Linked DNA regions of Drosophila melanogaster. The protein of the gene in region 1 interacts with the protein of each later gene in a pairwise test. Each region holds a gene or a part of one and is shown in the gene's direction. Other genes may lie near its edges.

The links.
Region 2: the proteins of CG14380 (region 1) and Tim9a interact in a two-hybrid assay, tested with the Drosophila melanogaster proteins (one large-scale study listed by BioGRID).
Region 3: the proteins of CG14380 (region 1) and CG40228 interact in a two-hybrid assay, tested with the Drosophila melanogaster proteins (one large-scale study listed by BioGRID).

What each region holds. Positions count from the first base shown.
Region 1 is NT_033777.3:13,184,919-13,192,765, forward strand, and holds CG14380 (uncharacterized protein), read left to right. Parts: upstream 1-3,600; 5' UTR 3,601-3,671; coding exon 3,672-3,722; intron 3,723-3,788; coding exon 3,789-3,968; intron 3,969-4,032; coding exon 4,033-4,308; 3' UTR 4,309-4,650; downstream 4,651-7,847. Other genes in the region: CG8508 (uncharacterized protein), read right to left, coding at 747-1,550; CG8141 (uncharacterized protein), read left to right, coding at 6,783-6,885, 6,935-7,551.
Region 2 is NC_004354.4:13,379,196-13,386,393, forward strand, and holds Tim9a (Tim9a), read left to right. Parts: upstream 1-6,014; 5' UTR 6,015-6,141; coding exon 6,142-6,201; intron 6,202-6,304; coding exon 6,305-6,400; intron 6,401-6,465; coding exon 6,466-6,597; 3' UTR 6,598-6,698; downstream 6,699-7,198. Other genes in the region: CG1640 (uncharacterized protein), read left to right, coding at 1-175, 238-386; Rbp1-like, read right to left, coding at 4,074-4,428, 5,105-5,493; Ype (yippee), read right to left, coding at 7,149-7,198. UniProt on the Drosophila melanogaster protein: Mitochondrial intermembrane chaperone that participates in the import and insertion of multi-pass transmembrane proteins into the mitochondrial inner membrane.
Region 3 is NT_037436.4:27,079,275-27,087,907, reverse strand, and holds CG40228 (uncharacterized protein), read left to right. Parts: upstream 1-4,001; 5' UTR 4,002-4,068; coding exon 4,069-4,184; intron 4,185-4,314; coding exon 4,315-4,447; 3' UTR 4,448-5,817; downstream 5,818-8,633. UniProt on the Drosophila melanogaster protein: Transcription elongation factor implicated in the maintenance of proper chromatin structure in actively transcribed regions.

The sequences.
Region 1 (7,847 bases):
GCATGCAACCAGATCTCCGCCAGATCCCAGCTCGACCCCTTCTGCCGTCCGATTGTTGTGCTTAAAATTGCTGAATAATTGTGCGGAAGTTGGTAGTTGTTGCATTCTGCGATGAAAATGGAAAAAAATGAACATAAAGTGAGGGTGGTCCATGAATCACATAAAAAACAAATGTCGCGTCGTTAGGCTAAAAGCTTTATGCAAATTTTCCATTGCTTCTTATCATATTCTCTTTGCCGTGCTGCAAGCTGAATGGAAATTGTATTGAACAGGGGATGAGATTGCATTGCGGGCTGGTCGATATGTATATATATATATATAAGTCCGATATCGGGGGGTTAATTGGGTGGACGGTCATTGTTATGCAGCTTAGGTCAAGTGTCTGCAATTAGGTGCAATTGTTTGAGAGGAAGTGCCATTTAGTTAAGCATTTGAACATGTAGGCTACTTACCAACCCCTTTTAAGAGCATTATTATTACTGCAACAGCAATTCGAACGCTTATTGAATCGGTTAGATTGGGTCTACTAAATTAAATCACATTACTTACGTTTAGGAAATGGGAATGCTTACACGAAAAAAAGTTGTAAATACTGTAGCATTATTTTAGCTTGTACATAATTTCATAAAATATTTATAATTTAAGACAAAGATTTAGTTAACGAGAGGCACCTAACTTGGAAAGCTAGTTACAAATTTTGTTGTTCTAAATGATTTCCTTGATGGCGTTAAAAAGCAAGATGATCTTTATACCTCTAAATCCTCTAGGACGTCCTGAAGCTCGGTAGCTACCCCCAGATCGTCGTCGTGATCTGATTTTCCCGAGTCCTCAGCCGATTTATCCACATTGCCACCCACCAATCGATCAGTATCAATACCAAACTTGAGTTCAAAGGGAAAACTCAGCTTGGGCACCTCGAAAGTGTGCATGTGGTAGTCGTAGTTGGTCTGCTCTTCTGGCGGAGCCGGGCAAGCGTGTTTAGCTTGAGGATTTCTATCTAAACCAGTCTGATGCCCCTCTTGTTCGGGATGCATATAGATGGTGTGTCCCGCTCCCGTCGCATTGTAGGCGTCATTTTCGGTGATACGCTTTGTGGAAGTATCAGGAGTTATTTCGGTATCGTCAATGAGTATGTTTATATCAATGGGCACGAGCATGTAGGTTTCTCCAGTACTTTCATCGGTTTGAATTTGGCTTAACTGCTCGTAGTCCTCGTCTGAAATGCAATCCAAATTTATTACATGGTCAGATTTCCAGCGAGCAATTTCCTTGGCGTCTGCGCGTTGAAACTTATCCGATTCCGAAGATCCAGTAGCTACTCCATTTGAGGTAATCTTAAATTTGTATAATAGCGGTTCTTTGAGCTGGACAAAAGCCTCTGGCTTACCAGCCTCCACATAAACTTGCACTTTATCCAGTGCATTGGCTATGAAATCATCGTTTGATAGCTCATTCCGCTCCTGCTGGCTTTCGTCCTCTATTTCCTGTGCCAGCAACTGCTGAAGCTTGATCATTTGCTCCTTGGTCAGATTGAGATCCTTTAGACTCATCGTTGCCCTGTACGGATTTAGGGATAATATATATTAGTAATGTACACAAAAAAAATATGATGATATTCGGAGTGATAATAATAAGATTGCGATAATGACTAGAAAATAAAGATCACTAGATATGGAAGCTGTGTATAAAAGTTTAGTTATCATAATTTCCTTTTGATTTTATAAAGATACTGTATGTCTTGGTTGCCCAAAATTACCAAAAACCCTATTGTATCTCATTAAGTATATAATATTTAAGAATTTTTGGCGAACATACATGTCAAACTAGTTTGCCAGTGCACTGGTTTCAAGATATGAATTGCTCTTCTGGGCTTCTATTCTATTGTTTGGAGAACGTACTTAAATTCAATTATTGTTTAAACACATCGAGAGACTTACCATCGTAATCTGAGACAAACAGTTGCTGATTGCCCTGAGGGCAGGGGTACAATTAAACAGCCTTGTCCGCACATTACCGCTCACGTTTTATGGCTGCCGTTTAAAAATATTGAAAAAAGCAGGGCAGGCACGAAATTGAAATGCCTGCCAGCGGGCGCAGCTTTATTGGCACCCGTCGACCAGGAGCCGGGGCATTATCCTGCAGATGGCTGCGGTCACTGGACATTAGGCGCTGGAGGACAACCGGTGTCCGTCGACAAGGCCAGGATCATGGCAGAACGGATACGGGCATTGTACATGAGATGGCGTCATTAAATACACATTACCCTGCCGGCGCAGGACGAACTCAGGAGCAGGAGCAGGAGTAGGCGACGGTGGAGTGGAGGCAGTCCGGCGATAAAGGCACAACAACCGCCGAGCAACAGTCGGCCAGCAGGAGAATGGCTATTAAAAAGCAGCCCGGGCCGAAGATAGACATGGTCGGCTACAGTGGCAGACATAACAAATTACACCATTTCGACAGGCGGTTCACAACAGGAAGGCAGTGCTGTTGAAATAGACTTTCCTTAGCTATTAGCTAAGAATATCAAGGATATTATGTATAGAGATTAGAAGCCAAATATATTTGTAAGACATTTACCATATCCATAAAACTGAATTTTAACAAAATAATTATAATATTCTCACGTTTCTTTATTTGCTCTAAAAATTCTGATTATGTCTTTAACAATTATTGATCAATTTTAATAAGACAATCGATCCTTGCATTCAGCTAGATAACCAAAGCTTTCTTCATTTTATATATACTCGAGATTCCCTTTGAAATAGCTATTTATTCTTATCTGCAATCGCCAGCACTGGATTGACACTATGGCCGGTGGTTCGATGGTTGGTGTTCAGTTTCAATTGTGCTGGCAAACGTGACTCCAAATTGGCTGCCGGCGAATAATTCATACGAAACACTTTCGCACCGTGCGCCTTGCCATTAGCATCGTACCACTGCCCCCACCGTCGGATGACCACCCACCTCCCACCACCCACTGGCACCCAAAGCGCCCACTTCGAACCACAGGGTAGCCCATGCCATGCCCCACGTAACCCCACGATTGCATTTACAGCAAATTATTTATGGCTGCGACAGACACGGAACAGGAAGCGAGTATGCGCTGCCAACTTCACGTCCATCAATATTTTATGAAACCCTGTCTGCAGAACGCTCCGCGCTGCTCTCAGCCGCCGGAATGGATGGGTTGGAGTCCTCGGAACAGGACGAGGGTATCTGCTTACATGGCTGCCTTGTGCCTTCTGCCGGCTGCCTGGCTGTCGATATCCGGTAGATGAGTATCTAAATTGCCTTTACTGTTGATGAATTAGCGCCGGCTGCCTGCCGCTCCCATTTGTGTGGAATGGGTGGCATTGCAAGTGCCTGCGTGGCGCAGATAAGCTTCCACGATGGGTGCAAATTTCAATTTGTTCTCGATGATTTTGCGCTCATCAAATAGGCCGGCAATCTAGGAAGACGGGAACACGACCTTGTTCGAAAGGATATGAAGTGAGAACAGAGCTACAACAGCAGGGGATTGGCAATTCACCAAACGGATGCACCTAAAATTACTCCATCATTCCTGTTGGAATAATACACATTAAAAATGAGTAGTAGAAAATGACTTATCAATCCTTGAGTTAAACATCAGTAACTGTTGCAGTATTTTTAAATTACCAGTTACGTCCATTATGTTACTCTCCCGCAAGGAAATCGTATCGTTATTGCTATTCCTCACGGCGGTTAGTTGCACCTGACTGCCATCTAATATCTGACCTTGTGACTCACCCCAGTCATCTGCTCCGCAGATCATTTCCGTGCTGAACGCGTCGGTGTTTGGGAACGTCCTGCCCCTCCACGTCAGTTATGAGCAGCTGGGCCATCAAGTGGTCTGCGTGGGAACTGCCTACATTTGCCTGATTTACGCCATGAGCACCTGGTTATACCACTCGAATTATTCCAGGACCCGTCTGCACATGCGATTGGTGGTGGGTGGTCGGCCAAATGGAGGTGAAGTCTAATTTCGAACATTTAAATATCCCATTTTTGCAGCTGGTGGCCATGATTTTGATTATGATACTGTTTAACTGCGCTTCTACCTACTACTTCCTAACCGGCGTTTCATTTTCAAAGCTAGGAGATTCCATGGAACTAATTTTCCTCTTTAGCAGCTTTGCAATGGCCTCCAAATCGGTCAGTTTGAGCATGTCGGCCATCAGCGTGGTGATCCTGATCGTGATCATGGTGTTACTCATTGTGACAATCATTCAGTCCCATAGAAGACACAAACGGGACAGAATGCGTTACCTCGAGTCGCAAAAGCAATAAACTCATCCTCATTCCCGTGGGAGTGCACATTAAGTTTGGTTTTTATGCAACGCCAAACATTTCATGTCGCTGCAATGTGGCGCCGTAGCTGCAATAATATAAATATTGCACTCGTACCTCGTTTGGCACAGACAGACACGAACTGCTCACCTCCTTTATTTTTTCACTCATGACACACCGATTCTGTGTGTGTGCTTTCTTCGCAGGTGATATGAAAAACATATACGAGTGTAAGAGAATCTCTGTTATTGTTTATCCAAGTCGCAGTGGGCATGCCCTGCCTTGAGAATAATTATACAATATATTTTTGTAATTCTATGTAATAAATGTTAGTTAATAGGGTTGAAGTTTGAAATTTTCTTTCTTTCCAAGATTTTTACTCATTCTGGGTCTTAATAATTTGGCATTACATACATTTTCGGTACCTTTTTTTCTCGATTATGAAAATGCCATCAGTGTATGCAGTGTATGTGTGAGTGCTTGGGCACCATCAGGGCCCAAAAAAATACCATTCTGGCCAGGATAAGTCTGAACAGTGCAACTCATAAGGGAGACAAGCAGCCTCTTCACATCGGCTTGTGTACCATTGCATTTTGCATAATGAAGCCGGCAGACAGTGCACTTTCGAGCATCAGACAAACGAAGTTAGGTACGAACTTAAAGGCTTGCCAAGCTGGAAAAGTTAAAGTTAGCTTTTTGGCACAAGTAGTGAGAAGGGGTTGGTAATTTGGGTAGGGGTTTTTAGGAGCGTTGTAGTAGCCTAATTACGCTCCAATGGCTGCCCATCAAAAGTGACAGTTGGCAAGGCAGGGGCTTACAATAAAATTTCAAGTTAAGTTATTGCCGCGCCGCTGGCGAGAGCTACGCGAATACTCAGTTGAAAGTAATTCCAAATTTAATTGCGCACAATTTAGAATGGCGAGATGTTGGCGTGCGTTTAATTAACTGAAAAATAACATAAAAAGCAAAACGAAAACAAAGCCCAATGACAGCCGCGGCGCCAGTGGAAATGCTTAATGTTAAATGCCAACTAATTAAATTTCGGGCATGCCAACGAAGTTGACTGGAGTTGAACTGCCGAATTTATTGTTGCATTTAATGGCCAGCGCAGGCGGTTATCCTTGTGCCATCGCTCGGCTTTACCACTTTTTATTGCGTATACGCTGGGGCACCCCCATTACGTATACGCAGTGTATTACGCCCCTCCACTCACAGCAGGCAAATGGACAGGCTAAAGGATTCGCTTTGTGGACAGGGATATAGGATGCCAAATGACGCAGAACCACTGGCATTGCGATTGTAATTCCGATTGGGCAAACGTCAGTTTCTCTGCGGTCCGTCGCCAAATGAAGCCAATAAAATGTCCTTGTTCGCACGCAAACGTGCGAAAGTGATTCATGTAAACTGATAAAAATTTAATCATATTTCACGTATTAACACGTAATTATTAATGCCTGATAAATGTCGGCAGTTGTGTAATATGTGAAAAAGTCGCTATTAATATGCATTATTTTCCGCTAGTTGTTATTTCACTGGGTAAGTAAAAAGCGCACGGTGTGTCCACAAGCTTCGGAAATACTTTGCTACGCATTACCATATAATTATAGTACTTTAAAAATATTTTATAGATGGTCTTAAAAACTTAAATTTCATTATATTTTACCACGCAACACTCCCGCTTGTTTTTTATTCAGAACAAGAACAGGTTATTTTACACCACTGCGTAATAGTTCTTTATTTAATTCTGTTCGAGTGTGTAATTTCGCTATGAAACTTCACTTTTATTATTATTGTCATTGTTATGTGTGCGAACGCCTGTCGGCGGGTTTATTTGGACCGTCCCGCGCTTTATTTTCTTTTAATTATGTACTCAGCTCACAAATGTGGGTCAATTAACAAGCAGTCGATGGTCCCCATCGATGTCGAAAAATCGGGATTAAACAATGCCGCAGACGTGCTGCCAGGACAATGCAAACAATTGTCAGAATTTAAATGCAGCGGCAACGGACCGCGAAGTTTCCACTCACTATCCGGTTCAATTTTCGCATAAATTATGCCGCCATATGTCACACATCTGGCGAATGCTACGAATTTCGATTTTCCGCCGTTTTTCCGGAACTGTCAAATGCTCGGCGTGTGTAGTTCGCTGTTTTGCAATTCTTGGACGGAATGCTGGAATGGTTTTAATATAAATCACTAAGTGTCTGCAAAACAATCAAAATCTGGCATGAACTATGTTACGGTGAAACTTAGTCATTAATTAATATGCCCTCAAATTTAAGTCGCTGAAAATGTCTTGCTTTTCATATAATCGAGAAATAAAATTACTATTGTACCTAAGATCTGTGTTAAGAATATTATAAAAAGTCGCGTTTGCTTTGACTCAGTTGTCACAAATTTGCCAGGCACAAATTTATATTTATGTAATTTGGAGCATGGGTTTTTAAAAACAATAATCACAAAAAGATTTTGAAATGGAAGCAGTTGCTAGAGAAAATGATCCACCAAATCATTGCTATATAAATGAAGAAGTTCCAGCGAATGAAACTGCCGAGAATCCTAGTCATGGCCTTCAAGGTGAGGCATTCCAATTAAATGGAAAATTATTAATGTTCAAGGTGAGCAGGTGAGGTGATTTCAAAGGGTTATATACCAGACTTGTCCAACGCAAACGTCAATCAGCAACAGCAGCAGGAAAATGATGGCGAAGATGACCTCTTGCCTGGAACTAGACTTCGCTACCGTCGCAGGAATTTGCATCTGGATCCCTATGTGTGCAATGAGTGCAACCAGTATGTGCGTGGTGGTGTGATCACCATCTGTGGTCATTTGTTTTGCTGGACTTGCCTGTGGCCCAAATTGAGTGGTACAGCACAGCCAAGATGTCCATGCTGTCAACGACATTTGCTCATGTACGAGGACATCATGCCCTTCCATGGAGAGGGACCCAATGCCCGTCAGGAGGATAATAATGTGCCGGCCCAGCCGGGCTCAGTGCCTCGCCCGACGGGACTGTATCTCTCTGATACTGATTTTCCCTGTTGGTTCGCGGTCAACGATCCTGTAGATGGGTGCCCAGCGACTTTCCCTGATATTCGCAGGGAGAGGGATCTTCACTGCGCTATAAGGCTTATTCCAATGGTGTACCCTTGGATCGGAGCACAAATTAGTTTTCTCAAGTGGTTCCAGTTGGGATGCGTGTTGCTCATATTTCTGATATGGTCCGTACTGTCGCTGTTCTAAGAGGTGTTTTTGTAATACATTTTTGTTTTTGGTTAATGGGAGAAGAGTGCGTTTTGGTTAATATCTTAAGAGGTTGGTCGGACCTCAATAAATTTCTGCTAATGCTGAAAGTATCTATTTTATAAAATCGAATGATTTAAATCGTATATAACATTCATTATAATTTGTTGCCCAAACCTCTGCAGCCAAGACATTTTCGTTGGAACCCTCTTGCATCTTCAACGAATCGAAGAAATATTTTATGAACTCTCTGGCCAAGTCAAAGTTAGTAAGTGCAACAACGCAAAGTACCGGGG
Region 2 (7,198 bases), on another chromosome or scaffold:
GCCGAGCTCGTCCACAAGGCACTGAACAGCTTCGAAGGCTACAAGGTTAACCCCGTACAGGGCGCCATGTACGTCTTTCCACAGATCGAGATCCCGCCCAAGGCGATCGAGGCGGCCAAGGCCAAGGGCATGGCCCCCGATGTTTTCTACGCATTTGAGCTGCTCGAGACGAGCGGTGAGTTTTCTTTGCTGACCTCGTTTGTTAGTCTCTCAATTTATTGTTTAATTTTCTCCCAGGCATTTGCATTGTTCCTGGCAGTGGATTTGGTCAGAAGCCCGGCACGTGGCATTTCCGAAGCACGATCCTCCCGCAAACGGACAAGCTGAAGCTGATGATGGAGAAGTTCCGTGTGTTCCACGCCGAGTTCATGAAGAAGTACAAGTAGATCAGCTGCCAACTTCCCCGTCCTCGATCCCTGTGTTAAGTGTCAATCCTCCGGCTTAGGATTAAAAATTTAAATTACCCTAATTGTTTTTTTTTTTTCCTCTTTGTTACTGTGTCATAGCTGAATGCTTCTAAGCTCTTCTTTATATGCATATATAGATATATATGAGAAATATATAAAAACATTTTTAAAACCCTATGATTTGTGAACCCAACCCGCGCAGGTTTTATCGCCACGATAACGTTTCCAGTTAGCAATTAACCCACTTAACCATGTAGTCTTTGATTCTTAATTGAACGAAAACTCCTGGCGGAGATTTGACAATAATTTTTGTTAGAACCAAAAGTAGTTTACCATCTTTTGGTCGGCGCATAATTGAAAATTCTGATATTGTTCTAAACGAAAGTTATTTGCATTGTGTATATTTATATTTATCTACACATAAATATATATAGCCCTGCATGTGCTTATCCCCCGCGAATCGATCACGAAAATCATATGATGTGTGTGCGTTCAAGTCATTACTAATTGTTATAGACAAGAAGAAACTTTGAAAATAAATAAATAATTATTATTGTTAAGCCAGCGCTGCGTTAATTTCAATTTGGGCAATGGGTATCCTTTTGTAATTTGTTTTTAAGAAAAGCTGAAAATCCCGACATTCCCATTAAAAACACCCATTGTGTATATTTTCGGTTTTAAATTAGGTTCAATTTATTGATTCTCATTTCACGACTTATGTAACTACTTGCACTTACGCCAAACAATCGCATATAGTACCTTTTTTTCACTTTTCTCTTGACATGTTTTGTGTTGCGACAGATTTAGGGTAAAAACCAAGTGGATAAATAATTTAGGTTCGCGGACATACAATAAATTTACCTTTGACATCCATTGTTCATCGGATGCCTCACTCTTTGTGTGTTGTAGTTGTAGTTGCGCTGGTGGCTTGTTCTTTTTATCTTTTCATTTTCTGAATTAAAATCTACCAAAGTCTTAAGGCCTAAAAACCAATGTGTACCATAGTTGTACTGTGGCTATACTAGCGAACCATTCGGATCGAAGAGATGGCTGGGTTGTGTGGTGGTCTTTTGTGAAGTTGCTCGATACCTTTTTTTTTTTTGTTTTTTGGTTTTGTTCTCTGTGGGGGGGGGGGGGTTATTATATGGAGGGGGACGAATTTATTGAGTCAAACTTCAGAAATCTGTTGAGCCATTTTTCGTCTGGCAAAACAGATCCTTTTTGTCCTCAACTCTGGGGCCGTACTACTTTATGTATATATCTCTGTATATGTATAATATATATATATATCTATATATATGTGTGTGTTGTGGAGTCCAGTTTTGGGCTGCATCCCACTACTACTCTTCTCATCTAATGGCGGTCCCTGGAGTCGGAGCGACTGCGACGATCCCTCGAAAAGCTGCGGCTGCGTGTCCTTGAGCGGCGGGGTGAGCGTGATCTGCAATGAAATGGGTAGCGTTTGGGGAAAAACATATTGGGCCCGGCACACACATACAGGACACAGAAAGAGAGAGGTGAGAAAGAAAGAGAAAGAGAAAGAGAAAATACAAATTAAATAGATTTTGCACCAATGAGTAACTTAACTAGTCGTGTAGTTAGATAACAATTCCTTAAGATACGTAAAGTTGATAAGAGTGGTCTCGATCAAACAACACACAACTTGGGCTGACGGATCTGGTGGATCGGATACGGATCGGAGAGCTGACATTGGAGCTTTAATTTGAGCTGAGCGGAGCTGAGAGCTGGCAGTAATTTTTTTCAGTTTTTTTTTTGGTGGCTGAAGGTGCTTGAAGGTGGTGGAGATATAGCTGATATATATATATATATATATATTTTTTTTTTGCCCCATTAACGAAAGCGTTGGTGTGACATTTACATAAAGTAATTGGTGGTGGTTGGTTGGATTGGTGGCTGATTGGTTTGTTGGTAGGTTGCTTAGTTGGTTGATGAGCAGAGCAGACTGAGAAGGCTGTTGTTGTTGTTGTTGTTGAATTGTAGTAGTAGTAATAGTAGTAGTAGTAGTAGTAGGTTCTTGTTGAACTGTTGTAGTTTGGGCTGTTGTTGTTGATACGATACTGAGCTGATTGACTGTGACTAGGGTGGCTGTGTTGTGTTTCTATTATTATTATTATTTCTTTTTTTTTGGTGTGTGTTGTTGGTGGATATATTGGTGAATCATTCTATTCTGTTGCAGCAGCCGAAGAACGTAGGTCGTATGAAGAAGCAGTTGGTGGGGAAGCATCAGTTAGCAGCAAGAGAGGATCAGGTTGGTGGTTGTGGTTTGGTGGTGGTGGCGGTGCAGCTCCTACCATCCGCGCTGTGAAGTTGCGAGCTTGAAGAAGATTCTGCCCTGCCCTGAACTGCTGATGCTGCTGGTGCTTTGGTCGATTGTTGGTGGGGTCGTTTTGTTGGTGAACTGTCTGACTGTGAGTTCGAGCTGATCGGATCAATGCATATAAACACACATTTACACAATATACTTGTATATTACACACAGAGAGCAGACAATTAGCGCGAACAAGATTATCTCAGTAGATGTTAGGATGCAAGAACAAAAGGTAAAAAAAAAAACAACCATAATTACAATTACGAGTATAACAAACGGATTTTGTTAGAGGCGTTACGTTACGTTTCGTTTCGGTTCGAGGGACAGTGTTGTTGGTGGCGGCCAAAGGTTTCATACTTGCTGCGATTGAAGGAATTAGCATGAAGCAGCCTCAATCTTGGTTTGATTGCAAGGGAAAGGTGCAACTACTGAGTGGTGGAACCAACAAAAAGTCTACCAAAGGCTTTTCAGCCTCGAGATCGATTTGCTGACTGGCTGCCAGATGTTCTTGTTGTAGTAGTAGTAGTAGTAGTAGTAGTAGTAGAAGTAGAAGCTGTTGTTGCAGTTGGTCTTTGTAGCTGTAGCTTGTTGCTGATGCTGTAGCTGCACTAAAGATGACGGATGATGAGGTGGTGGGTGGTTTGTTGGGGACGTAGGAGCAGGCTGAAGACAACCGCACAACTTGGAGACGTAGGAAGTTGACTTTTTGAAGCGTTGCTGGACTGGTGAGTGTGTGTATAATATATATATAAATATGCAATAGATGCATTTTGGCATTTGGATTCTTGATGAAGTTGCTCTGTTGCCGCCGACGATCGGTTCGCTCTGGTTCTTGGTGATTAGTGTGGTTAATGGCTGTTTGTGTGAGTGTGTCTGTTGTGTAGCCTGAAGATGTTGCCAACTAACAGACTATAAATGATGTGGAAATGTGGAATGCACTGTGGGGCATACGACCATCTTCGTTTGCTAAATCCTATTTATATTCCAAAGCAATATTCTGTTATTTGACAAAGAAAAAAGACCAACGTTTAGCAGCTAAATCCTATTCAAAATAGGCATAGATCGAAGATTACTTAAATCGTTTTCTTTTCTTTAGTTTGTAGCTAGTCGTGTGCCCCATAGTGGAATGTATAGTTAGGTGACTGTGGGTGGTGTTCGGTCTGGTTTTGGGTGCATTATTCTTGAAGCTGCGGAGCCGAAGACGTTGCTGATGATTCATTTTTTTCTGTTCTGTTTTTCTTTTTTTTTTTTTTTGCCTGGGTTGAGCTGAACAGGTGGTGGAGGGGGTGTGGTAGTGTTGCGGTCGTTCGGTTTGGTTCTGGTTCTTGGTTTTGTGGTCAGCGGAATATATCGAATTTGTTGAATTTCTGGTTAGGGCCGCACAACAAATTGTTATTGCATGGTGGTGGTGTAGTGGTGGCTGTAGTTGTTGTTGTTGTTGGTGAAATGTGTGTAATAGGAGGAGCAGGATCTGCTGTTGTACTAGTTGTTCTTGTAGTAGCTGTTGTTGTTGTTCTTTTGGTTGTTGTTGTTGAAGGAAGAGGAGTAGTAGAAGTTCTAGTAGTAGTAGCTGTTGTTGTTTTTTCTTTTTTCTTTGTTGTTCTTTTAATTATCATTATTATTATTATTATTGATGTTGTTGTTGTAGTAGTTCTTGTTGTGCTTGTTGTAGTAGAAGAAGAAGACTTTATCCTGCAAAATGATTGTGAGACCACATTAAAACTGGCTCCAAGCGATCGATTTACTTTGTTTTTACTAAGTTTTCTTGTATTTTCTTTTCATTTTTCTTGTATTTTGTAATTTTACTAAAAACAACAAACAAAACGTTTTCTCTAGTTAAAGCTATACTCTTTGAACTTTAAACTATGGACCTCGGGGTGCATATAATGAGCAATGAAATGTGATACTAAAACAAGATTCCCCTTAAAAAACAAAATACGAGCTAAAAAGAATCGATTGACGTAGCAAAAGCAACCAGGACTGTCGGCCACGGACGCCACTGTGTGCGCGCGGTAGGACTGTTCTTTTTCACGGACGCCACTGTGTGTGTTTATGTATGGCTAACAGTGGTGTCCCACCGTATGTGTGACTGTGTGTATTTTGGCTGGCACCGCTTTTGTATGTATACGCGAATCGATTTTTCACATGCATACATACACACAAGCACACACGCTATATAAATATGTATACATATGTTTATTTATATATATATTTTTGCATACTTTTTTGCACATAATGGCAAAAATTATGATTTCATAATCTCGAGAGAGGGGTAGTGGTAGTAAGTGGGTGCTTTGGTTGGTTGGTTAGTTAGTTTATCTGGTTTATTCTGGGGATGCAAAATGTAATGCTTTTGTGCCGTACTCACCTATAGCGTCCACCGCCATCGCCAGCCCTTCCACCGCCTCCAGCACGGGCGCCACTGCCACCGCCGCGGCCGCCGCCACCGGATCCGCCTCCACCACCGCCGCCTCCACCGCCACCGCCGCGACCCTCTCGTGAACGGCCTGATGACATTTCGACACGGATGCGGGTGCCACAGCAGCGGGTGCCGTCGAGGCCACGGGTCGCATCCTCAGCGTCGCGACGATCCTCGAACTCGACGAAGGCGAAACCGGGCGGATTGCGGGCCACCCAGACGTTGCGCAAGGGTCCGTATTTGCTAAAGGCGTTCTCGATCTCGTATTTGGAGGCCGAGGATCCCAGATTGCCCACGTAAACTTTGCAGGCTAAATCCCATTCACGGTAGCGTGGCATTATGTATGAATATGTATGTGGCTGGAGGTGCTGCTCCTCCGGTTCTGTAATGGATTTTTGGTATTTGTTGTACCACTGGACTTGTCCAAAGTCAATTTTCCAGTTTGTTTTGATGCTATTCCGAGGGAATTCTCCTTGGTTTTTCAAAGAGCACACCCACAAAGCAGGAGCAGAAAAAAGTGTTTGTGAGGAAAAAAAGATGGCGTGCCCTCCAGTGTTGAAAAGTGAACGAGGTGCAGTACCGTAAAGCGCTGACCATAAGATATGCGACTATCGATATTTTATAGGAATATCGATCTTTGAAATATCATTTTATTCTATTTAATAGTTTAAATTAAATGTTTCACAACCTAAGGGTACTTAGTTAAAGTATTATTATAAATATACCTTAATTTATGTATGGATACATTTGCTTAATTTCATATACCCGATGTTAAGAGTAAAACTAGATGTGGTTAATTTTTGAGTCGGCCGAACCAGATACTTCACATAACATACTTCAAAAGATAACATATCGATAAGTCGAGAACACGGAATGGCTTTTTAACATCTGGCAACCCTGCACACCCAGCTGTCCCTATTATATAGGCACATTATTATTGGCCCTTTTTCGTTTCGGCAATTTTGAATAAAATATCGCAGAACAAAATGGCTAAGACACCGGAAAACATAGCCATCGATCAGTTGGACAAGGATCAAATTAAGACGGTAAGCAGAGTTGACACGAAGATACCATCTCATGCCAAGGACCGGCGGTGCCAAGTGATGCAATGTGGTTTTCATTTGATATGTTTTCGGTTCTAACTTTCAGTTTTCCGACTTCCTAATGTCCTACAACAAACTGTCCGAGACGTGCTTCACAGATTGCATACGCGACTTTACAACGCGGGATGTTAAGGATTCCGAGGTGAGTGCCCGTGGGGAAGCTCCATGTGGAAATCAGCGATTTCAATATGCCCATCCATTTCACAGGAGAAGTGCTCGCTGAACTGCATGGAAAAGTATCTGAAGATGAACCAACGCGTCTCGCAGCGTTTCCAGGAGTTCCAGGTTATTGCCCACGAGAACGCACTGGCCATGGCTCAAAAGACTGGCAAACTTTAGGTGTTATAGCTGTTACAAACAATCTTAACTAGTTTAGACAACTGAGATGATGCATTTTCCTGCATTTGTCAAAATAGCTGAGTAAAGAAACGCGTTGACGGAATCCCGACGATTATTATCTACTATTCGATTATTGTGGTACTTTATTGCTGATTGATTACGGCCTAGAGATCTTGTTTGAAAAAGACAAGTGTGGATCATCAGTTTCGAATATGTTCCAGCTGAGTAGCAGCCCATCTTTTTCGTTTTAGCACTTCAGCCTCATGACATTTAAATGGTAGAATTGGGCGCCGCAGCTGCTTACGTGCTAGATGTGCCTACAATTACGTTTAAGTCACGTTAAGACAGGGCCGTAGTCGCATGTGCTCCGTGGCGGATGTGCAACCGATATATCGGTCTTCGGTATCCCGAACACCGGAGCCGACTACGGCGATCTCTAATCTAGGTCTAATGCATAGAGGCCATCGCCTGTGGCCATCTACTCAATACTTAGGGCTACACAAGGTTCGCCAATGCGTGGTTCCCGTTTTCCGGCTGTATATTCAATCGGCTCAATGACTCGTGGTGGCGGCCTCCGACGGAAAGCCCTCTGCCTCTGTGA
Region 3 (8,633 bases), on another chromosome or scaffold:
CCCGTGAGAAAAATCACTTAATAGACTCGGACTTCGGGAAACTAAAGCCACCATCTGATCTATTTTTTAATACACATTACAGTTTTTGAAAATATTTTTAAAAATAATGAAAAACAAATGTGCAATGCATTAGGTGCACAAATAAAAGTGGTGCCTTCTCACTATGGTTTTATGAAAATAATGAATGTTTTGTTTTTTAAGCATTGCAAGTGGACTGTGATAGCTAATAGACAAAAAAAGCAAGCTAAGCTCAGCATTCTATCTCATAAATAACAAAAAATATAATAAAAATAACTTAATTGGGGAACATGGAAATGTTAAACATTAAAATATTTCATGTCGACTCGAAGGTCATATAAATATAGGACCCCATTACAATTGTAATGGCCTCCTCACGGTGACCCTGGACACCGATTATTAAATACATTACACATAATTAATTATCAACATAAATATAAATATGTAAACGGTAGCCAATTTGAGCGTCGATTTTAACAAACGAATTTAAAAAACTTTAAAATTATAATAGTCAGGGAGTGAATTTTTAATTATAATTTAAAATAAGTAAATTCGTTTCTTCGAGCAGAATTGATGTCGGCCAGAAAATCGTCTTCTTACACAAGTACGCACACATATGCACGTTCTCGTCTCTTGTTTTTACTCACACAAGCAAGCAAATTCTATTTTTAGAGTTCTTACGCTCTCAGCGTAAGCGAGCGGACAGAAGGCAATTTTGGCCGTCACCAAAAAAGTGGCTGCATAGTGCCAAGCCAATGTATGGCAGTTACGCATCTTGTTATTCTAGTATTCAAAAGCCAACAAACAAATATTTGTGGGATAACCGTTGACACCAAACTACCACGGAAAGAACATATCACAAGAAAGGTCAAGCTTATAAATCACAAAAGTTGGCAATTGTACTGATTGCTTAAAAAAAAAGTAATCTTTCCACCAAAAACAAGCTCCTCCTGTACAAGGCTATAATTAAACCAGCGTGGAAATACGACATTGAGGTGTGGCAGCTTCATACCCAGACATCAACAATATCTTCCCTTTTTGGGATATCCAAAGATATTGGGAAATAAAATGAGAAAAAATTTAAAAACTGTTTAAAACTGTGGGCGTGACCGTTTTGGGCGTTTTTTAGGTGTGGGAGGAGGCGTGGCCAAAGCGTTTTTGGTACACCCATAAAAATTGGCCAGACAAGGAATAGAACGAAGAAAAAATCGAACAATTTTTTAAAAGTTTGGGCGCGACAATTTTGGTCTGTCGATTTTGTGCATTAGAGTGGAAGTGGCAAAAGGTCAAATCGATAAATATTTGTTTGTCAAGAAACTGTGAAATAAGTTGAATTTTTGACTTTAAAGGTAAAAATTAAGGGTTCTTTGCTTAATTAAACACAATTTTTTAATTCAATATAATTAAACAATATTTATTTTACTTATAAATCAAAAAAACAAATTAAAAATATTAAATATACAGGAAAATAAACAACAAATTCCAAGTCTACACACTTTTGAGCCTGTGAAGAAAACATTAAATCGAAGTGTAATCGAAGTGTAATTATTAAATTATTTTATTAAAATTTAAAAAGTTTTAGTATGTAGTATGTTCCCCATTGGCTTTGGCTACAAGTTGAAGCCTTTTTCATGGAATGAATAAGTTTTTGAAGGTCATATTCAAGCGGGATCTTTTCACACTCTTCGACTATTGCAGTCATAAGCTGTTGTGTTTTAGGGCCCTTTTTGCCACCTTTTTATTTAAGTAGGTCCACAAATTTGCAATGGTGTTTAGATCAGGAATCTGAGGGGCGTATCGATCACTTTACCACAGTTATAAAGGAGCCATGTGCGTACATTGTATCTTTTTGATTCGGATCATTGTCCTGATAGAACTTAAAATTTGGCTTGTTGTTGCTAACTAGACAAAATTTTTTTGCACTGGCCTTAAAATTTGTTTTTAAAATTTTCAGATATTACACGGGACTTATTGTGCTTTCAATGAAGGCTAGTTTTTCCAATCCACGGCTGGAGATACAAACCAAACCATCAGTGACATTTTTCCAAATTTTGTCGTTGGAATGATATTTTGTTTTTCTAGCGCACTCAACGGCTTGCGCCACACTCTGCTTGGCCCATCGTTATAAAAGAGACCAATTTTAGTTTCGTCACAAAATATGACGTCATCCCAGTACTCTTCCGGATGATCCACCATGCTCACAGCGATTGAATGATTCTTTTCAATATTGGCCTCTGATAGCAAAGACTCCTTGCAACTCTTGAAGAGTACCTATGGCGTACGATGAAAGTAGGAAAACAAAATGTGTAAAGAGTTTCTTGACAGTCTCAAAAGTGTGTAAACTTGGAATTTGTTGTTTATTTTCTTGTATATTTAATATTTTTAATTTGTTTTTTAATTTATAAGTAAAATAAATGTTGTTGTAAATATGTATTGTTTATATGTTCGGAAACGCTTCCTTCTGCCTGTTACTTTTCAACGAATCTTTTACTCTACGAGTAACGCGTATAAATATCAAAACATTTTTCAAAGGTGTGCGCGTGGCTACTTTGGGTGGTTTGTGGGCGATGGAGTGGACGTGGCAACATGGGTCAAAAAGCTTGCGCTTCGTCTATGAATCTAGGAACTTTTATAGTTCCTGAGGTGTCGACGTTGATCAAGAATATATAAATGTACTTTATATTTTCGGAAACGCTCCATTATGCCTGTTACATACATTCGATACTCTACTCTACGAATAACGAGTATTATAATAATACATTTTTAGCTCAGTCTTTAATCTAAAGCACAAACTTATAGATTCCAGTTGCAAATGTCAGGCTCGGTATGGCTGCGACTGAGCTATGATTTACATTACATTATTTATTCAAATCAGCTGTCCTGAAATACAACATAAATCCGGTGACGTTGAGGGTGGTATAGAAAGAAAAACAACGATCCAAATAGCTCGGTTAAGAACCTTCAATAAATTAAATAAAACTTTTAGAAATATCTAAATTAAAATGAAAAATTAAAAAAAAAAATTTTTCGATAAACAAGAATACATATTTTAGACATCATTTTATCAAAAAACTATCAAAAACTTATTTTCTATTAGTGATTTTGTATTTTGAATCTTTTGTAGAGAATGCGAAGAAAGTAATGAATGCTGGCATTGACATTGAGTACTCTGATCAATTAAGGCGTATCAAATTATTATAAAATGGCTGAAGGAGTTTGATGGAATAGTGGCAGTTGACTAGACACAAAGGAAGCAAATACAATAATTAGATTTGTGAAATATATTATAGAATACGAAGATGCGCATATACCTTAAAATTTGATATATGTATATAAAAAAGTGCATTAAATGCGGTAAGATATAATTAAGTGTAATGATAAGAGGGATAAGCCATTCACAGGTCCCGTCACAGTCCAGATCTTCCATACATTATAAAAAGAATCGTGGCAATCTGCTTTATGGGAGATCCCAAAAAGTTGATTGGCATATCGATAGTACCTGGTCAGTCCCATAATGTAATGGACAGTTTTGATCTGTTTGAGCTTGCGAACCGAATGCTTTACTAGAATGTTGCTTCAAATAGCCTCCATAGTTACCGGTATCTCAACATTATGGTCGAAACGACGGAGGGATATCGCAAAAGCGACTAGGCAAGTGTTTCTAATTGAGATTATATTACATTCATGGGTCAGAAACTCTTCCTTATATCTATTGCATTTACAAAATAAGCCACTTTTACGTTAATTGTTCGCATTTGCGTCACAATTTAAAGTGCGTATAAATATTGTATTATATAATTTACTACTTAAACTGGCAAAAGGTTTATATATTTAAACAAACGTTCTGTGGGGTTATGAAATAGTGCCAATAAGAAGTGAGGGACCGACATGTGTGAATCGGGTATAAAGCCTATTCTTAAATTGGGTATGCGTGAAAAAGGGTTGAACTGGTTAATTTGTACAAAAATATTTCGTTATCTTAGCATTTTCGGAATTGTTATTTGATTGCTGTAGCCGCGCACAGTGGAAAAACTGTAGAGGCTTTAAAAAATGGGGAGAAGGAAGTCTAAAAGAAAACCGCCTCCGAAGAGAAAGAATATTGAACCCCTTGATCAACAATTTAATTGTCCATTTTGCAACCATGAAAAATCGTGTGAGGTTAAAATGTACATATTCAGGACAGTTCTGATTCTACTATTATTCGACCGAATATGTAGACATATAGATTTTATTTGGTTCTATATGTAAGTCCAAAACCTAAATTTATTAAAACAACTCTTTATTTTATAATTTCAGGGATAAAAGCAGAAATACAGCGAAAATAACTTGTAGGGTGTGCTTGGAGGATTTTCAAACGGGAATTAACTTCCTTTCAGAACCTATCGATGTTTACAATGATTGGGTAGATGCCTGTGAAACAGCAAATTAAATGGAATTAATTTTAAGTTAGTTAGTAAGTAAAATAAATTGCTAGAGCCCTCTAAATTATACCATAAAATAAGTTTAATACAAAAAATTTAGCATAATAGCGAGATTGAAATAAACATTTTTGACTTATTAAAATAAGCTGAACCCATGAAATTCTAACAAATTTTTGTTCTAGGAATCAATTCTAAAATATTGATATTGTATTGCGCAAAGGAGATTCGTAGAGTGAATCTGTCCGTCTATCCGTATGAACGTCTTGATCTCAGGAACTATAAAAGCTAGAAGGTTGAGATTAAGCATACACTTTCTATAGACATCGACTCGTCGTAAGTTTGTTCACCCATGTTGCCACGCCCATAAATGACACAAAACTACCATGCTCACACTTTTGAAAAATCTGTTGATATTTTTTCATATTTTTAGTGTTGTAGATTTTTATCGATTTGCCATAAAACTTTTTGCCACGCCCACTCTTACGCCCTAAGCCGCCCAAAATTACCGCGCGCACATTTTTTAAAAATTTTTGGATATGTTTTCATAATTTAATTAGTCTTGTAAATGTAGCTTAAAGAAGCTGGGTTCGGAAATATCGAATTTTTGATGTTTAAAAGCAGGAATCGTTTGCCCATTTGCCCAATTAGTCCAGTTTTTGAGATATGAATTTTCGAAAAAGTTCAAAAATTTTCGAAAATCAAAAAGTTGACTTTTTTCAAATATTATTTTTTTTAAATCGCAATAACATTGTTTGCCTACACTTTGGAATTTTGAAAAAAATGTATACTTTAGAAAATATAAGTCATTTAAGTTTACCTCCACTCAGAGAATAAAGCGTTTGACCAAAGACATTAGAATTTTATTATTATTATTATATTATTATTTATTATTCCAGTGTCTTTGGTTTGATCATATATTAAAACGAAATATTATCAATAAAAAACGTTTGCCCAACCAGTATTATTAGTTTTTAACGTTTGACCACCCTCAAAAAACCTTTAACAAAATTTTTTTCGATTGCCCTCTTTAAATATATCCAATTTCACTAGCCCACCTCTTTAAAATAAAAATGTTCAATAAAAAACGCTTGACCATCCTTTAAAAATAAATTATTTCGTTTGCCCACCCTTTAAAAATAGTTTTTTTCGTTTGCCCACTCTTAAAAATAAATAAATTCGTTTGCCCACCTTTTAAAACTAAATAGTTTCGATTGTCCATCCATTAAAATTAGTTTTTAACATTTGCCCACTTCTTTGAAATAAATATTTTCAAACGATTCCACCTTTTAAATCTGAAAAATTCGATTTTGCCGAACCCAGCTTCTTTGAGCCGAATTTCCGTCACAACTAAGCTAAAAAAGGTAATATTACCAGAGCTAACGATCCCTATCACTTTTTGATGGATTTAGGGAAATCAATTTTTAGGTAAATTTTCGCATGTTTTGTAAGGGGTCATCAAAATTTGCAAAATATGGCCAAAAAATTTAATTTCCATTTTTGAACACAGTTTCATTGGAAATTTTATTACGATCTGAGGTATGACATTCCATATTCAGACAATTATTTTAAGGTTGTGGCAAAAAAACTGATTATTTGATGACCGAAATTTGGAATAACGGATTTTTTGATTTGGGTCATCAAAATTTGCAAAATATGGCAAAAAAATATAATTTCCAATTTTCAACATAGTTTGATTGGAAATCTTATTACGATATCAGCGAGGTATAACATTCCATATTCAAACAATTATTTAAACGAAAAAACTGATTATTTGATGACCGAAATTTGGAAAAACGGATTTTTTGATTTGGCTCATCAAAATTTACAAAATATGGCCAAAAAATTTAATTTCCATTTTTGAACACTGTTTGATTGGAAATTTTATTACGAGCAACAAGGTATGGCATTCAATATTCAGACAATAATTTTTAAAGTTTTGGCAAAAAACTAATTATTTGATGACTGAAATTCGGAAAAACGGATTTTTCCACAAAGTTGATATTTACAAACGGAATTTTCGACATAACTTGGCTAAAAATGGTCATATAGATGTAAGAATAACTGTTAATTACCAGTGCTTACTATCTCTAACATTTTTTGAAGGATTTAGGGAAATCAATTTTTGGGTCAATTTTTGCATTTTTTGTAAGGGGTCATCAAAATTTGCAAAGAATGACCAAAAATTTAACTTCCTTTTTTGAACACAGTTTGATTGAAAATTTAATTACGATCTGAGGTATAGCAAGAAAACTGATTATTTGATGACCAAAAATTGGAAAAACGGATTTTGCAAAAAGTTTATATCTGCTTATTATTATTATTATATCTACTTATTATTCCACAAAGTTGATATTTACTAACGGAATTTTCGACATAACTTGGCAAAAAATGGTCATATAGATGTAAGAATAACTGTTAATTACCAGTGCTTACTATCTCTAACATTTTTTGAAGGATTTACGGAAATCAATTTTTGGGTCAATTTTTGCATTTTTTGTAAGGGGTCATCAACATCTGCAAAGTATGACCAAAAAATTTAACTTCCATTTTTGAACACAGTTTGATTGAAAATTTAATTACGATCTGAGGTATGACATTCCATATTCAGACCATTATTTTTAAAGTTGTAGCAAGAAAACTGATTATTTGATGACCAAAATTTGGAATAACGGATTTTTTGATTTGGGTCATCAAAATTTACAAAATATGGCCAAAAATTTAATTTCTACTTCTCAACACAGTTTGATTGCAAATTTTATAACGAGATCAGCAGGGATAACATTCCATGGTCAGACAATTATTTTTTAAGCTGTGGCAAAAAAACTGATTATTTGATGAACGAAATTTGGAAAAACGGATTTCTCCAAAAAGTTGATATTTACAAACGGAATTTTCGTCATAACTTCGCTAAAAATGGTCATATAGATGTAAGAATAACTGTTTTGAGAAACTAATTACCAGCGCTAAAGATCCCTATCATTTTTTAAACATTTAGGGAAATCAATTTTGGGTCAATTTTCGCATTTTTTGTAAGGGTCATAAGGGTCATCAAAATTTGGGAAAAATGTTAAAAAAAATTTAATTTCCATTTTTGAACACATTTTGATTGGAAATTTTATTACGAGCAACAAGGTATGGCATTCAATATTCAGACAATAATTTTTAAAGTTTTGGCAAAAAACTAATTATTTGATGACTGAAATTCGGAAAAACGGATTTTTCCACAAAGTTGATATTTACAAACGGAATTTTCGACATAACTTGGCTAAAAATGGTCATATAGATGTAAGAATAACTGTTTCCAGCAGCTTCAAGTTGACTTTTTTCAAATATTATTTTATTTAAATCGCAATAACATTGTTTGCCCACACCTTGGAATTTAAAAAAAAATGTATACCTTAGAAAATATAAGTCATTTAAGTTTACCTCCACTCAGAGAATAAAGCGTTTGACCAAAGACATTAGAATTTTATTATTATTATTATTTGATTATTTATTATTCCAGTGTCTTTGGTTTGATCATATATTAAAACGAAATATTATCAATAAAAAACGTTTGCCCAACCAGTATTATTAGTTTTTAACGTTTGACCACCCTTCAAAAACCTTTAACAAAATTTTTTACGATTGCCCACACTTTAAATATATCCAAATATATCCAATTAGCCTACCTCTATAAAATAAAAATGTTCAATAAAAAACGCTTGACCATCCTTTAAAAATAAATTATTTCGTTTGCCCACCCTTTAAAAATAGTTTTTTTCGTTTGCCCACTCTTAAAAATAAATAAATTCGTTTGCCCACCTTTTAAAACTAAATAGTTTCGATTGTCCATCCATTAAAATTAGTTTTTAACATTTGCCCGCTTCTTTGAAATAAATATTTTCAAACGATTCCAGCTTTTAAATCTGAAAAATTCGATTTTGCCGAACCCAGCTTCTTTGAGCCGAATTTCCGTCACAACTAAGCTAAAAAAGGTAATATTACCAGAGCTAACGATCCCTATTACTTTTTGATGGATTTAGGGAAATCAATTTTTAGGTCAATTTTCGCATTTTTTGTAAGGGGTCATCAAAATTTGCAAAATATGGCCAAAAAATTTAATTTCCATTTTTGAAAACAGTTTGATTGGAAATTTTATTACGATCTGAGGTATGACATTCCATGTTCAGACAATTATTTTTAAAGTTGTGG